Lonchura striata: one gene and its partner. The protein of the gene in region 1 binds, or shares a complex with, the protein of each later gene. Links are inferred from orthologs where the notes say so. Each region holds a gene or a part of one and is shown on either strand. Other genes may lie near its edges.

The links.
Region 2: VIRMA (region 1) and RBM15 share a complex: the UniProt entries of both Homo sapiens proteins name them as parts of the WMM complex. The link is inferred for Lonchura striata from reciprocal best matches to the Homo sapiens genes VIRMA and RBM15.

What each region holds. Positions count from the first base shown.
Region 1 is NC_134603.1:24,170,187-24,178,823, forward strand, and holds the start of VIRMA (protein virilizer homolog), read left to right. Parts: upstream 1-5,251; 5' UTR 5,252-5,303; coding exon 5,304-5,366; intron 5,367-7,559; coding exon 7,560-7,675; intron 7,676-7,914; coding exon 7,915-8,001; intron 8,002-8,394; coding exon 8,395-8,443; intron 8,444-8,637. UniProt on the Homo sapiens protein: Associated component of the WMM complex, a complex that mediates N6-methyladenosine (m6A) methylation of RNAs, a modification that plays a role in the efficiency of mRNA splicing and RNA processing.
Region 2 is NC_134632.1:1,364,070-1,372,281, forward strand, and holds RBM15 (RNA-binding protein 15), read left to right. Parts: upstream 1-4,425; coding exon 4,426-7,248; 3' UTR 7,249-7,540; downstream 7,541-8,212. UniProt on the Homo sapiens protein: RNA-binding protein that acts as a key regulator of N6-methyladenosine (m6A) methylation of RNAs, thereby regulating different processes, such as hematopoietic cell homeostasis, alternative splicing of mRNAs and X chromosome inactivation mediated by Xist RNA.

The DNA of each region.
Region 1 (8,637 bases):
ATCTTTCTTATATTGTGATGATCAAAATGTCACATGATACTCAAGGCGAGGCTGGCCCAGTGCAGAGCAGAGCAGGACAATCCCCTCCCTTGCCTGGCTGGTGATGCTGTGCCTGATGCATCCCAGGACAGGGTTGGCCCTCCTGGCTGCCAGGGCACTGCTGGCTCATATTCAACTTTCCACTGACAAGGACCCCCAGGTCCCTTTCTGTGGCGCTGCTCTCCAGCCTCTCATTCCCCAGGCTGTCCATACATCCAGGATTGCCCCATCCCAGGTGCAGAACCTGGCATTAACCTTTGTTAAACGTCATATAGTTGGTGATTGCCCATCTATCTTGATTTGTCAATGTCCTCTGCAAAGCCTCTTTGCCCTCAAAGGAGTTGACAGCTCCTCCCAGTTTGGTGTTCTCAGCAAATTTATGTCTTTGAGTCCCATGTCCAAGTCTTCAATGAAGACATTGAAAAGAACTGGGCCAAGGATGGAGCCTTGTGGAAGCCCATTAGTGACAGGTTGCCAGCCTGATGTCACCCCATTTACTATAACTCTTTGCACCTGACTTGTGAGCCAGCTGCTCACCCATCATGTCACCTGGTTGTTCAGCTGTGTGCTGGACATTTCTATGAAGGTCTGCCTTGTGTGTTTCTTCATCACTACTCCTTATGCTGGTGCAGGTTCACAGCTTGCACCACCTTCTATTAACACAATCACACTTGTTTGGCAGGAAGGGAGCAGATGTGTTTCACCACTTCTGGGGATCCTGTCAGCCACTGACTTGTCCCCATAGTGCCTGGCATCCTCTTCCTGCCCTACTGTGGTTTGGTGCAGCCTGGTTCTGCTTGTGGGGACTGCCACCAAATTCCAGCATGACACATCATAGCTGGAATAATTTTCACTCTCTCTGGTCCAAGATTTCAAATCTGACATTCACTTGTAGCAGACACTGCAATTTAAGGGGTTAAAATGTCAAATTAATCCCTCCAGTTTTTAAAAACAGTAGCTGAAATTTTCCGTGTGAATCCAGTGTCAGGAAACAACTAAGATAATTGTACCCTATTTGTCAGAGGTTTAGAGTACCTGGTTTTCTTTGTGCATTTGTCTTCTGACTTTTGATGCATTGAATAAAACATTTGTGAAGTGAAGGTCTGGGGTGTTTTTCCTCAGTAGTGGCTGCAGGTGATCTGTACTCAGCATCTGAGGAGTAAGGTTGGTCCTCACACAGGGAGTTTGCTTTGTCATCTGTGCCTAGCCTGGAGCAAAAGGATTCAACAGCATAGGATGTCTTTGTGCAGTTTTCCCTTTCAGGTCTTAGGTTACTGCAACTTCTTAGAACAACATTTATACTTTAGTACAAAAATCAGAACGTTTCTGAAATTACTTCACAGTGGAGCATGCCAGACAGAGAGTTCTGTCTTGGTTGGCTGCTCATCTTTCAGTGAAACTTAATCATCTTTCTTAGGCAGTTTCATTCTCAGTGCCAGCTTGGCTTTTGAGATGCAGCTCCTGTCTTTCTGAGAATGATTTCTGGATGGGCACGTGTTCCTTTACTAGTGATTTGTTGTATTCTGACTTACACACTTTTTTTCTGATTTTTGGATGGGCACATGTTCCTTTACTAGTGATTTGTTGTGTTCTGACTTACACACTTTTTTTTTTGTCTCTCTTCTGCCTTATTGTCTCATCCTATGTTTCTGTCCATCTAGGAGCATGAGAGTCCCTAGATTATTACTACAGCAGGCTGCATTATGTAAGGCTCCCTTCCAAAAGTGAAACTGTACCCTGAAAGTATTTTTAATTCCCATTATGTCTTTTGGATTACTGGCTAACCCTTGTTTCATTTATTCATTTGTTTATGAAGCTGCTAGTCACTAATTGCCACTGTAGAGCTATTACCTTTTATTTTTCTCTTTCTTGGCTAATACATTCCCTAAAACACCTGTTATCCAGTCACAGTTCCCATTCCACCTTCTTTCTTGCATGCTTGCAGCATCTGGTCTAACAACATGCACCAGTTGGTCAGGTTCCTGTGTTGTGTTGCCCAGGCTCCCATTCCAGTTGCTTGTCCCAGGCCACTCCATTGTCCTGGGACTGGCTAAGCATAGTCTTTGCATGAAATGTCACCTTCCAGATGACATGGGCATTGTTATCTACAGGAAGGAACTGGGGTGCTTTGAAGTAAGGTGACCTCTCAGGGCCAGCACACTGTTACTGTTCTCATCTCCTCTCTGGCAATCCTTTTGTTTCCTTTGTAACCGTTTTTCTGTCCTTTTTGTATTAGTTGTGGTGATTTCCCACCACGTGTCCTTTTGTTCCACTTACTGTAACAGGACAGTTGTGAAACAACTCACACCCTTCTTCTTGCCAAGGAGGTCACACCCCCCGCCCCCAACACTGCAAGACTCATGTATCCTCTTATTTATTTCCTCCATTTTTCTGAAGTTTTCTTCTTTCACCCATTGATCCCTTCCTAAAAAACAAACAACCTGTGACTTTGCACTTCTCAATATGTCCAGATTTCTTCTGCCAGTTCTGAATTGCCTGCCCTGCTCTATTGCTCTACAGAAGGGTCTTCACCTCAATACCACCTGCAACTGTTGGCCTTTCCTGCACACACATTTGGTCTCTGAAAAGTACCCCACCTGTATCACTTTTCCTCAGTTTCCTTCCAGAATATCAACTTCTTACAACTGAAATTGGAGAATCAGCTCTATCATTCCTTTTTGAATGTGTTCATGTTTACCACCTTTTTTTTTTTTAACGTCTCTAAGATAAATGCTGTTCCTAACCAAATTCTGTTGTCTCCACTTTCATCAGTGGAGAAAATACCCCCCAAAATACACAAATTGCTTCTTGATATTGTGCAACTGTGTGTGACGTTCAAGCACTGCTGTTCTTGCAGCAAGGAAATGCCTGACCTGTAAGCCCAGCCATGTGCTGAAGTCAGTGACACTGCATTGAGAGCCACCTAAATTGAATCCTTCAAAGCTGATTCTGTTCAAATCCAGAGCTGCAGCTGTTCCCAGCAGCGAGAGTCACTGCAGATAAAAACGCAGGGCTGGAATTCCCCTGCCAGTTACCAAACAATTCTCAGTGGCTGACCTGGTTGCAGTACTGTTGCAGGCTATCCCAGCAGAGAAGTCATCTGACAGGGACTGCGCTCCTCTGGCACAATGGCACACACGGTGATGCCCATGTGTGGAGCAGTTGCAAAGCTACTGCCTCACAGAAGTCTCCAAAGAGCCCCTAAACCTAATCAAAACAAGCTGTGCCGAGTGTCAAAAGGCATTGTGCTACTGTGGTAAGCACATTTCTCTCTCTCAGAATTTTTCGTAGAGGTGCACAGAGGGAAAGAAAGAGAAAACAATTTCTATTTCTAGTCCTTGTTTTTCCTATGTGAAATGTGTTTGGAGAATTGTTTACCTGGGGTGATTGCTTGATTGGATTCTGTGAGAATTGTTTGAACCTGATGGCCAGTCAAATCCACTTGTGTCTGGACTCTCAAGAGGCGGTCACAAGTTGTGAGTTAGTTAGATATGGTAAGTAGAAAAAGTAAGTATGTAGTTTTAGTATCTCCTTTAAATAGTATATTAATATATTATAGTATACTCATAATAAAAAAAAATCATTCAGTCTTCTGAACTAGAGTCAGATGTTATTTCTTCCCACTGGGTTCACCTACATTTACAATATGCTACTTCAGTAAAATACATATAAAGGGGTTTTTCTTCTTTTCTATGTAAAGATACTGTATTTTACTTCAGGAGTCTAGATCTGGTAATTCAGCAGGATGAGACAGGGAATCCATGTTGGGGCAAGAATCACAGTAGGCAAATCTACCAGCATGGCCAAGGATGCTCCTTGGTTTTAAGATTGTGAAATATTTCTTTAAAGGGATTTATACTTTAACTACATCTGTTCAAACAGCATGAGGCAGAATCAGGTTTTCAGTGAACTGAGAAGAAATTCTAGTTGATGAGTATCCCTGCACTGCCATAAAACACCTCTTCAGGTGTGTCAGTAGAACCCATTGGGGAACTGCATGCTGTGGCTGGCTCCCTAACACGTGCTGTGGAGACAGGAACTTCCTGAACTAGTTTCACCACCGCAAATGGATGTATTAAACCACAGCCTTGTTTAAAGTGATGTAACATTTTCATGTGCAGTACAACCTAGAGGACTGCTGCTCCTGGTTTAAGTAAAAGTTTGGAATGATAAGAGAGCAGCAAGCTCAGCTACTGGAACAAAAAAGGGGCTTGTGAAGTCCCTATACACCCATAAACCAGTGTATTTCACAAGCAGCCGTTTCAGACACAAGAGGCAGATAACAAGGAATAATTATCACCCTTAAGGACAGTGCTTAAGGTATTTGGCTGAAGTTTCCATCTAGAGATGTAACACGTCATTTTACCGCTTCCTCCAAAGGCACATGGTGCAGCTTTGCTGTCAGGCACGGAGCTCGTACAGAAACGTGTGTAACCAACACCGCTTGCGTAAGATTAATTCCACATCATTCTCCTGGCCAGGGACCGGCTTTGGCTTCGTGGCGTCCCCAGTGCTTGATTGCCGTTGCAGAAGAGCAATAGATGCTAAACAGGTACTTTGGCGCTGCGGAAATGTTGAAAGGAATTCTGCTACACGGACTTGAGAGAAGCGACAAGTTCTTCACCTGAAAAGCGATTGCTTTAAGCACGGGAGAAGCTGCAGAGGAAACTTCTCAGGCGGGGCTGAAATTAACCAGCACCGCGCTTGTGAACCCGAGCGGAGGCCGAGGCTCGGCGCGGGCTGCGGGGACTGGGCTCTGTGGAGAGGGGGCAGCGCCCCGCCGCTCACAGCCCCGGCTGCGGCACGAGTTTCAGCAGGTTGGACTCGACGACCTCAGAGATTTTTTCTCGACCTGAGTCTGACTCGATGAGCGCCGCAGGGACGCGGCACTGAGGGCGGCGGGACCGGCAGTCAGCCCAGCCCCGCCCTCAGCCCCGCCCTCAGCCCCGCCCTCAGCCCCGCCCTCAGCCCCGCCCTCAGCCCCGCCCTCAGCCCCGCCCTCAGCCCCGCCCTCAGCCCCGCCCTCAGCCCCGCCCTCAGCCCCGCCCTCAGCCCCGCCCTCAGCCCCGCCCCAGCCCAGCCCCGCCCTCAGCCCCGCCCCAGCCCCGCCCCGCCCTCAGCCCCGCCCTCAGCCCCGCCCTCAGCCCCGCCCTCAGCCCCGCCCTCAGCCCCGCCCTCAGCCCCGCCCCAGCCCCGCCCCGCCCCGCGCGGCCCGGAAGCGCTGGCGCGCGCGCCGGAAGCGCGTCCCCCGCGGCCCGGCCAAGATGGCGGCGGATGCCGCCACCGAGCTGCTGTTCCTGGACACGTTCAAGCACCAGAGCGCGGAGGTAAAAGGGCGTTCGGGTTCCGCCTCGCCTCTCACCTCCCTTCCCCTCCTCTCCCTTCTCCTGGGCTACTGCTGGCGCCCCCCTTGCTCGCGCCGGGGCCTGCCGGGAGTGCGGAAGCCCCGCAGGGGCGGGCCCGGCTGCGGTCGGGCAGCAGCAGTCCTGGGGCAGGCCCCTTCGAGGGGGAGCTGCCGCCTCCTTCCCGCTCGCCTGACCCGAAGCCTTGCTCGAGCCGCTGTCCTGGCAGCCTGAGTGCTGCTGGCAGGGGGCGGAGGGTGGTGGGAAAGCAGCGGGGATTTAGAGGTGGCGAGGAATGTAGGCGAGCGGAGAACAAAGAAGATAAACGTGCTTCGAGAAGTCGATATAATGGAAGAAGTTGACTGGAGGGCTATGCCCTGCCGCTTGTGAGATTTCTGATGCTCTTGTGTAGCTGATGATGAGGAGGGATATTTGTGTGTTTGTGAGGTATTCCCTTAGATTTATTTACTTTACACTAAATGAGCGTTTCAAGCTTTTTTGGCAGTGGTAGATCGTGCAAATATTCCACTTTGAGGCTGTTGGGATCCTGAGCATCTTTGAAACTGCTGATCTTGCAGCAGATTTGTCTGGGGCTGTGCTCGATGAAGAATTCAGGGAGGAGGAATGGGACTGTTAGGGGAAAAGTAACATGAGAAAGACGTTCAAATTCATAGAATAACTGGACTGCATTCGTGAATAGGCATTAAGGAAAGAGCTCATGCTGCAATGAAATGCAGTTGAAAAGTTATTCTGGAGTGTTGTAGCTGTCTGGATCAGCTAGGCCCCAATTGTTTTTTAATTCCACTGTTTAAAACAATGTTAGGTGGGGAGTGCTACCCAGTGCTGTTCCCCTGGATAGAAACAGTAGCCACTCTTAGGCCTCTCCAGGGCCCTATGTTCTTTTGTTGAACATTTTAATCTTTAAAAATAATTTTCTCTCACTTTCATTCTTATCAGTGGCATTGTCCAAACCTGAACCTTAGGTTTTTTATGTGTATATTGAAAGTCTTCTTTATGTTAGGCTAATTCTTTGGCTTTGTGGATTATGAATGTTTTACTAGAGCTTACAGCTCTTGAAAAGTACTGCTGTGTTTTTGAATAAAGTAATTTATTTGGCTTAGCTATACAGTTTAGAGTAGTTATTGAGTAGTTCTGATGGAGGGTCTTTTTTAATGTTTTGTAGGAGAAGTGGGTAGAATTCACTTGCTTTGGTGATGTTGGTGCATGGCTGTCAGGCCATAATCCAGTATCATTTAAAGAGGAATTTGTCTTTATGTGGGTGGTGTTCCTAGGGATGAAGCTCCCCAGAGCAGCCCTTTCTCCAGAAATTTGAGCTTCCTGCATGACTCAGATGTTTTTTAGAGACACAGATGAGCTCCTACAACCCTCACTCCATGTAGGCTGCACTCGCCCTGTTGCTGTTCGTGTGTCTGTGCTTCCTGTCCTAGTGGGATTCCTTTGCTTCCACCATCCAGCTTCTACCACATCAGCCCACAGGCCAAGCTGTGTTGTATTGTCTGCAAAAAAATGTCTGCATCGATTTTTTACAAGACAGTAACACATGCTGAAAACCATATCTTAAAAGCGGTTTTAAAACTCCAGTTTGTCTGTTTCATTGCTTACTAGCTTTCTAAAAATTTTAGTACTTGCTTTCTGCTGGTTTAATTTGCTTTCTGATTGTAGTGAAAAAGATACATTTCGACTGCAAATCAATTTGTTTTTTAATTTTAATTTTTTAGTTGTGTTAATAGACAGGTCGGTGGCTTGGGGTTTTTTTCCTATTAGTCTGGTAATTCAGCTTGCTAATTGGAAATGTGATTCTGAACTTCTCTTAAGAAAGTATTTATATGTTTACAATTAAACATAAATTTTATATGTGTACCATTTTATGCGTATAAATATGATAAAAATGATGGATAAATATAATATGATCTAATGCAGTGAATTTAGTGAGAGAAGATGTCCAGCATTAATTTTTTAGTAGCTGCTATATGAAAAGTCACTGTAAGTTTGATAACTTCCTAGTTTGCTCAAACAGCTTTTTGGAGGGTGTAAGAATTCTTTATACTTGATGTTTTATTATTAAGACTGCAATATGTTCTGTTAGTAGAGAATGCAAGACCATGATGTTGTTTGTGTTTTACGTTTCCTAGAATTTGCTTCCTCTTTGTTTTGTAGCAAAGTACCAATATCGATGTGGTTCGTTTTCCATGCGTGGTTTACATAAATGAAGTCCGAGTCATTCCTCCTGGAGTGAGAGCTCACACAAGTTTGCCTGACAACAGGGCTTATGGGTAAGTGAAAGATTCCAGGTATCAGATTCAAGAAAACCTTCCTCTTACTTTTTTCTTGAGCTTTCATCTCTCAATAGACCTTCCTACATAAAAATGTAAAATGTATTTGGGTGTTTGCCAGACTTGTAATTATTTTGGGGCATTCCTTAAATAGGATAATTTTGTGGTTTTTATCTCCTTGGTAGTCCTGCTTACTCTGATAAGGAACTCATCTGATTTTACTTTCATTCTGTTCCTAGAGAGACATCCCCTCATTCATTTCAACTGGACTTGTTTTTCAACAATGTCAGCAAACCAAGTGCCCCTGTGTTTGATCGGCTGGGAAGGTAAGTTCTTTCAAGATTAGTGTGTGACTTCCTTATCTACCTTTAATTCCTGAAAATTTTTAGAGTGCAGAGAATGTGCAATAGAAAATCCTCTATCTCCCATGACTTTCACGTTTGGTTTGGATTTTGCTAGTTTGTGTTCTTGTTCTTTTCATCTCATCTGTGTGGAAGGACAGAGGTTTATGCTTAAAGTAAGAAAAAATTCTGTTATTTTTAAATTTACAGAGTCCATATATATTAATGCCAAGAATTCTGTAGAAATAAGTGATTTTTCTTTCTTGTACGTATTTGTTCAGTGTTTTATTGTTGGCTTGTATGATTACTATTGCTGTGTTTTATTCTGTAAACATGCTTTGTATTAATGGAAATTACTTTGTATTTTCAATTTAACAGCCTTGAATACGATGAAAACACTTCAATTATTTTCAGGCCCAATGCAAAGGTAATGCAGTGTGATTTAAACCTCTTCTTTCTCTGCATATCTGTCATTTAGGTGTAAATATAGTTTCATGTGGTGTGTTAATGCTATGTAAAGTGTTCTAAAACCTGTCTGTAGTTTAGATACTCTTTACTTTAGAGTCTTCTTGTGTTTTTCATGTTGCAGTTTGTTGGGTTTTTATTCGTTAATAGTCTGTA
Region 2 (8,212 bases), on another chromosome or scaffold:
AAAACACACAGTTAAACCCCAAAATGATGGTTTTTTGGGGGGTTTGGGGGGGTTGTTTTGTTGGTTGTTTTGTTTGGTTTTTTTTTTTCCCAGGAAACAGCCAATTTCTGTGGTTCTGCGACCCCCAAGTATCCTGTGGGATGAGCCCAGCCCTGCAGAGGGACCTGGATGCTCAAGTCCCAGGGACACCAGCTGTAATTAGGTGTTTAGATCTAGGCCAGGGGCTCAAGGGCCATCTGGCACCTGAATTATTCATACACTTTTATCTAAGCACAGGCAGAGCAGAGCACAGAGCTCCTTCTCCAGCCTGGGCCCAGGGGAAGATTCCTGCTTGTGCCAGATCGTTTTTCATGGCCTGACAAACGTGATCCTCTCCAGAGCTCCTTCCCAGTGCTGAGATGCCTTTTCCCAGCGCCAATTCTGCTCCAAAGCACACCAGTGCTGCCAGAGATCCATGCAGAGCCACAGAGATCCACATCACCAGCAGCTGATGCGGAGGTGGAAAAATCCAGGAGGAGAAGTCTCCCCTTGGAAGGAGCAGTTCAGGAGGAATGAAATCAGATTAAATGTCTATCAGGAGGGCCCCGTTCCTGTGGTGATGTGGCCCAGTGCTCCCCCACAAGGTGTCTTTTACCCTGTGACTCATCTGCTGAGGAATTTTAATCCCTGTCTTTCTCTCCCAACCCCGGGCACCATTGGGAAGAGAGGACCTTGGAGACAGAAGTCTCTATCATTTGTTGTTAACATGATGCATTTCTTCTTCAGCCATGGATGGAGCTGTGCCAGGTTTTACCAGATGTAACAAAAAAATTTCAGATGAAGCTGAAATATGGCACATTATGGCTTTCTGTGCACTTTTCTCTCACCTTATTGAGTGATTCCTCAGCTCCTCAGAGCAACCTGGGCTAGTGGAAGGTGCCCCTCCCCACAGCAGGGGTGGAAGGAGATGGGCTTTCAGGTCCTCCCAACCCAAACCAGTCTGTGGTTCCATAATCCTATAGGCACAATCGGAGATGCAGGAAGGAGCTGGAGGGGGAGGATCTCTGCATGGGATGTGGGGGCATCGGATCCAGACTGCAGTGAGGCTTTCTTCTTGTACACTGGGATATTCTGCTCCCTAAAACCTGCTGGCTGCTGCTTCTCATTCCTCAGTCAACTCCAACCCGCCTTCCAAAACCTTTTTTAGCAGTTCTGAAAGGGAAGTATTGCTGTCAAGCAGTACCACCTTGACAGAATAACAACCTTTCCAGAGGGAAACCAGAATTCCTGAGTCTATCCTTCAGCTGTGTCTCTATGGGAAGCAGCTGGATCCAGCCGGGAGCAGCAGCTGGGACAAGCCCTGTGACAGATCCACGGATCAGCTGTGGCTCCTCCCGCACACGTCTTCGTGTCACTTCACCTGATCACATCCACCCAACTGCATCTGTGTCCCTCAGCTTCCCCATGATGATCCACACACACCGAGCTCCTGAGCCACCACAGCTCTGGCTCTGCTGGGTTCAGGTTGTTCCACAGAGAGTCTCAGTTTCAGAAGCTTGGTGTATGTTCCAAACACAATTCCTGTCACTCCAAGGTCTGTACTTAAATATCATGGAGCATCCAGTTCTGCTGCCCCCAACATTAGAAGGATTTGGAGCTGTTGGAGTGAGCCCAGAGAAGGCTGTGAAGTTGTTGAAAGAACTGGAGCGTCTCCACCATGCAGACAGTCTGGGAGAGCTGGGAATGCTCGGCCTGGAGAAGAGAAGGCTCTGGGGAGACCTTAGAGCACCTTCCAGGGACTAAAGAGACTCCAGGAGAGCTGGAGAGGGACTGGGGACAAGGGACTGGCAGGACAGGATAAGAGAGAATGGCTTCCCACTGCCGAGGGCAGGGTTAGGTGGGATATTGGGAAGGAATTGTTCCCTGTGAGGGTGCTGAGGCCCTGGCACAGGGTGTCCAGAGCAGCTGTGGCTGCCCCTGGATCCCTGGAAGTGTCCAAGGCCAGGCTGGACAGGGCTTGGAACACCCTGGGTTAGTGGAAGGTGTCCCTGCCCATGGCAGGGGGTGGCAGTGGATGGGCTTGAAGGTCCTTTCCAAACCAGTCTGGGATCCTGTGACCCACTTGCAGCCAGTTGCTCGTGGGCTTCCCCAGGCCTCAGCACTGGGGCTGGTCCTGTTCTGTCTCTTTATCCACGATCTGGATAAGGGGGTCAAGGGCACCCTTTTCAGTGCACAGACAACACCAAGTTGAGTGGATCTGTGGATCTCCTGGAGGGCAGGAAGGTTCTGCAGAGGGATCTGAACAGGTTGGATCCATGGGCTGAGGGTCAACAAGGCCAAGTGCCAGGTCCTGCCTTTGGATCACAACAGCCCCTTGGAACACTCCAGGCCAGGGCAGGGTGGATGGAAAGCTGGAAAAGAACCTGGGGGTGCTGGTGACAGCTGCTGGACACGAGCCCAGGTGTGCCTGGGGACAGCAAGGCTGAAGGCACCTGCCTTGGATCAGGAACAGTGTGTGCAGCAGGCCCAGGGCAGTGACTGTCCCTCTGTTCCTGCTCAGACCTCACCTCCAGTGCTGGGGTCAGTTTTGGGTTTCTCATGACAAGAAGGACATTGAGGGGCTGGAGCACCAGGGTTTAGAAGGTGAAATTAAGAATTTGGAGAGTGAAATTGGGGATTGGGGAGGTCAAACTAGGGTTTAGTGGGGTGAAGTTTGGGGGATTAATTTTGGGTTCGGGTGGAGAAATGAGAGTTTGGAGGGCCTGACATGAATGTTTAGAGTGTGAAATTGGGGGTTGGATGAATCCACCTTGGTTGTGAAACTGGAGGGTTGAGCGTGAAATTTGTTTGGCTGTTGAAATCAGGGTTTTAATGGGAACAATGGTGTGTAGGGGGATGATCTATGGGATTGTAGGATGCAGGAGCAGGAGTTCCAGCTGGGTTGAGGGACCCAGTCCTGCCCGAGCTTTCTCCTCCTTTGAACTTTTTCCCATCGACATTTCCCACAGGCAGAGCAGGGCAGGAGAAAGAGGAGGAAGCGCCCAGGGCCCCAGGTGGCAGCGGGATCCTCAGAAAACACAGGGATTATGGAAAGATCCTCAGAAAACACAGGGATTATGGAAGGATCCTCACAAAACACAGGGATTACGGAGGGATTCTCACAAAACACACAGATCAGAGGCGCTCCTGTTCCACGGGAGCTGGAATTCCCTGAGGCCTCCTCACCTCAGACCTAACCCGAACTCATCTCCGAGAGCCTCCGAGCTCCAACTCCCCAGGGAAACATGGCGAGAGCAGGAATGTACCAGGATAACCGCTGTGATGTGCAGCTTTAAACGGGAAATATCTCAAGAAACGGTTTGCTGGCCCGGAGCAGGAGTGCCCGTGTTCTCAGGCAGTTCCTGCAGGTCCGCAGGGCTCCAGAGCCGGCAGAGCAGCGCGGGGAGCCGCAGCCTCATGCGGGCTGCACAAGCAAACAGGGAGAGCGTGAGGCAGGCACTGAACGCAGCCGAGCTCCCCTCGCTCGCCCCGCGGTGGGTTCAGCCCAGCCCGGCGGGCGCACTGGCGGGCTGAGGACGGACACACGGAGCACCGCCGCACCTCCGCCCCGCACCACCGCCCGCCGCGCTCTGAGCCCTCAGGCACCGCCGTACCGCGAGCTCTGCCCGGGGACCGCCCCCCTCCCCGCGGCGACCAATCGGAGCCAGAACAAGCCTGAGTGATTTTTGCCTTAGCCAATCAGCACTCTGCCTGTCTGCGCCCAATCAGACGCCAGGGGACGTTTTCTCGCCCAATGAGAAACCAGAAACAGAGTTGCGGGAGCGGGGCGCGCTCCTTCATGAGCGGCGTATGGATCAGCCAATCACATCAGTGCGATGGGTTGCTAAGTGACCAATGAGGAAAGGGGGCGGGGGCAGAGCAACTCGCGAGAGTTTGAGGGGTGCGATGGGAACTCGCATCTAAGCGGGAGAGCCAATGGCACAGGGCGAGGCGGGGCCGCAGAACGATTATTGTAACTGGCGGCCAGGAGAGCCAATCAGCAGGCAGAGCTAAGTTCGGCCCATTGTTCAATGGGCAGCGAAAATCCTCCCATGGTTGAACAGCCACGATTGACAGGTAGCACCATCCAATGAGATCGCCGCGCCCTTTCTAACTGCCCAATGAGCGAGCGGGGCTGGGAGGCGCGCGACGGCGGCAATTCCCGCCCCCCCCGCGGGAGCACGGGGCTGGCTGGCAGACCGACAGCGCGGCGGACCAATGGGAACGCGCAGCGCCAGGAGGTGGGCGGAGCACCCCCGCAGCGGCGGCCAATGGGCGAGGGCACCGCCCTGGGCAGCCAATGGGCGCGGGGAGGGCGGCGCGCGGTGCCGGCGCGGCTCCAAGATGGCGGCGGGTGCGTGAGCGGGGCGGTCGGGGAGGCCCGGCGGGAGCGCGGCCGCCGCCGCCATGAAGGGCAAGGAGCGCTCGCCCGCCAAGGCCAAGCGCTCCCGGGGCGGCGAGGACTCGGCGTCCTCCTCCTCCTCCTCGCGCGGCAGCAAGAAGCCGAGCGGCTCGTCCGGCGGAGGCGGCGGCTCCAACGGCGGGAAAGCGGCGGCGGCGTCCGGCGAGAGCAACAGCGGGAGCGGCCGGCGCGGCGCCCACGCGGACAAGGGCGGCCGCGCCGGCAGCCGCGAGTACGAGACCGGTTCGGCGGCGGCCGCGGGCGGCGGGGGCCGGCACGGCTACAGCGGTAAAACCGCGGAGGCGTCGCGAAGCAGCAGCAGCCGCGGCGGCGAATCGCGAGCGGCCGCCGCCGCCTCCTCCTCCTCCTCCTCGTCGGAGCCGGGCGGCGGCGAGTACAAGACGCTGAAGATCAGCGAGCTGGGCTCGGCGCTGAGCGACGAGGCGGTGGAGGACGGGCTGTTCCACGAGTTCAAGCGCTTCGGCGACGTGAGCGTCAAGATCAGCCGGCTCCCACCCGGCGCCGGCGCCGCCGACGAGCGCGTGGCCTTCGTCAACTTCCGGCGGCCCGAGGACGCGCGCGCCGCCAAGCACGCCCGCGGCCGCCTCGTGCTCTACGACCGCCCGCTGAAGATCGAGGCCGTCTATGTCGGCGGAGGCAGCGGCCGCCGGCGCAGCAGCCGCTCCCCGGCGCTGCTGGACAAGGAGTCTCCCTACGGCGCGGCGGCGGTCGGGGCGGTGGCGGCCGCCGTGCGGCACCCGCCGGCCGGGGCCGCGCAGCGGGCGCTGTCCCCCGCGGGCAGCGGAGGAGCTTTGGGCTACCGGGACTACCGGCTGCAGCAGCTCGCCCTGGGCCGGCTGCCGCCGCCGCCGCTGCCGAGGGAGCTGGAGAGGGAGCGGGACTACGGCGGCTTCTACGAGGCGCGGGTGCGGCCGGCCTACGGGCTGGAGCGCGTGGCCGGCGTGGCGGCAGCCGGGGGATTCCGCGGAGGAGGAGGAGGAGGTGCCGGAGCGGCCGCCGAGGAGGAGATCAGCCCCGAGGATGACCAGAGAGCCAACCGCACGCTGTTCCTGGGCAACCTGGACATCACCGTGAGCGAGTCGGACCTGCGGCGAGCGTTCGACCGTTTCGGGGTCATCACTGAGGTGGACATCAAGAGGCCGGGGCGTGGGCAGACCAGCACCTATGGGTTTCTTAAGTTTGAGAATCTGGACATGGCGCACCGGGCCAAGTTGGCCATGTCGGGGAAGGTGCTGCTGCGCAACCCCATCAAGATCGGGTACGGGAAAGCCACCCCGACCACCCGGCTCTGGGTGGGCGGCCTCGGGCCCTGGGTGCCCCTGGCTGCCCTGGCCAGGGAGTTTGATCGGTTTGGCACCATCCGCACGATCGATTACCGCAAAGGGGATTCCTGGGCCTATATCCAGTACGAGAGCCTGGACGCGGCGCAGGCAGCCTGCACCCACATGCGGGGCTTTCCCCTGGGGGGGCCGGATCGCCGGCTCCGCGTAGACTTTGCCGACACAGAGCATCGGTACCAGCAGCCCTACCTGCAGCCCCTGCCCTTGCCGCCCCCGGCTCATTACGAGCTTGTGGCGGAGGCGGCTGCTTTTGGGGCTCACCGGGGAGCCCCCCCTGACCCTCTCCGGGGGGCCCGGGACAGGACGCCACCGTTGCTCTATAGAGACCGTGACAGAGACCTTTATCCTGAGACAGAGTGGGTGCCCCCGCCGCCCCCTGTGCGGGATCGGAGTAATCGGGCAGCTGCCTATGACCCACTGGAAAGCCTGGAGCGCCGCCGGGATGGGTGGTCCTTGGAGCGGGACCGCGGGGAGAGGGAGCTGGGCAGTAGCAGTAGGGATCAGCCTAGGAAACGGAGGCTGGCGGAGGATGGAGGCCGGCACTTGGACCGTTCCCCTGACAGCGAGCGCTCCTCTTCCTCCCGAAAGCGCCACTGCTTGGCCACAACCTCTCCCCCGGACCGCAGCCCCGAGCTCCTGGGAGGCCGGGAGCGTTACAGTAGTGACCCTGAGCGCTCGTCCCGCTTGCTCCTCTTGGAGCGACCTTCCCCCATCCGGGAGTCCCGCCGGGGCAGCCTGGAGCGGGGGCAGAACGAAAAGCGCGACCGCAAGAACTCCGCAGAGCGGGAGCGCAAGCACCGCGCCGCCGCTGCCGCCCAGGAGTGCAAAAGTCCGGCCAAAAAGGACGAGCGGGCGGCGGATGGAGGTGGCGGAGGCTCCCGGCTCAAACCTCCTCCCCAAAAACAGCAGCAGGATGGAGCAGCGCAGGCTGGGGCAGCGCCCAAACTGTGCCTGGCTTGGCAGGGGATGCTCCTGCTGAAGAACAGCAACTTCCCGTCCAACATGCACCTGCTCCAGGGGGACCTCGGAGTCGCCAGCAGCCTCCTCGTGGAGGGAGCGACTGGGGGGAAAGTGGCTCAGCTCAAGATCACCCAACGTCTCCGTCTGGACCAGCCCAAGTTGGACGAGGTCAACCGGCGCATCAAGGTGGCGGGTCCCAATGGATACGCCATCCTTCTGGCCGTGCCCGGCGCCTCAGACAACCGCTCCGCAGCCGGAGCCGCCGAGGCCGCCACCACCTCCACGCAGAGGCCGCTCAGGAATCTGGTGTCCTACCTAAAGCAAAAGCAGGCTGCTGGGGTGATCAGCCTCCCTGTGGGGGGGAACAAAGACAAGGAGAACAGCGGGGTCCTGCACGCCTTTCCGCCCTGCGACTTCTCCCAGCAGTTCCTGGACTCCACGGCCAAGGCGCTGGCCAAATCAGAGGACGACTATCTGGTCATGATCATTGTCCGTGGGGCGTCCTAAGGCCCTCGTGTTCTGTTCCCAACCCTGCCTACTCCTCCATGCAGCCCCTCCAGCGTGTGCCAGGTGCTATGGGATACAGCCTTAGCCAGCCCTGTCGTTATTTTAAATAGATCTTTGTTTGTAGGTGACTCTCCCGGGCCGATTTTCTGTTACTACATTTTTCTATAAAGATAGAAGCCAGAGAGGTTGGTTAGGAGTAGTGTGAATAGGATATTTTGAGAATTTCCTATCAGTGGGGACAGCAGGGAGGCTCAGCCTGCTTTGATTTACAGAAAATAGAAAAATAATAAAAACTGGGGTGGGGGGGGAGGGGGGGAAAGAAAAACTCCTGTCTTCTTAATTTAGATTCATGTCCTTTTTTCATTTCATGTATTTTAAAGCAAGTCCCAAGAGCTCGTCCTCGAGAGAGCTCCAAACCGAACAGACCAGATTTAAAGCACTCAGTGGAAATGGAAATCCATACTTTAATAACAGACTTGGTGTCACCTCCTCTCTTGAGTCCTTGAAATTCCGTGTGGGCCTCAGGCCAGCGGCGCTTTGGCCCGTGGGATCCCTTCCCTCGGGAGCCGCAGTGGTTTCCCCGTTGAGTCGCGTGGCTCAGGTCGACGTTTTTCAGGTGAGCAGCAGCTGCTCTTGGGTGCACAGCAGAACACTGAATTCCTTTTTGGAAAGGGATTCCTTTTTCATCCAGCCCCCCCAGGTGCATGCACTGAAACTGGGCTTTTTAACAGGTGTATTTCCCCGATTTCCCAGTGTATCCCATATGTGCACTTTGGGTTTGTAGCAGTGACTAGGTTTGGTGAAGAGCTGAGGACTTTGTTGCAAACCAGGAATGTCTTGTGCTCACTCTGGTGTGCAGGAAACAAGGAGGTGCTTTAAGGAGAACTTGAGTTATATTGTGGGGTTTTGATTTTACTGCCTTTTTTTTTTTTTTGTTTTGTTTTGTTTTCCAAGAGTTGCAAGT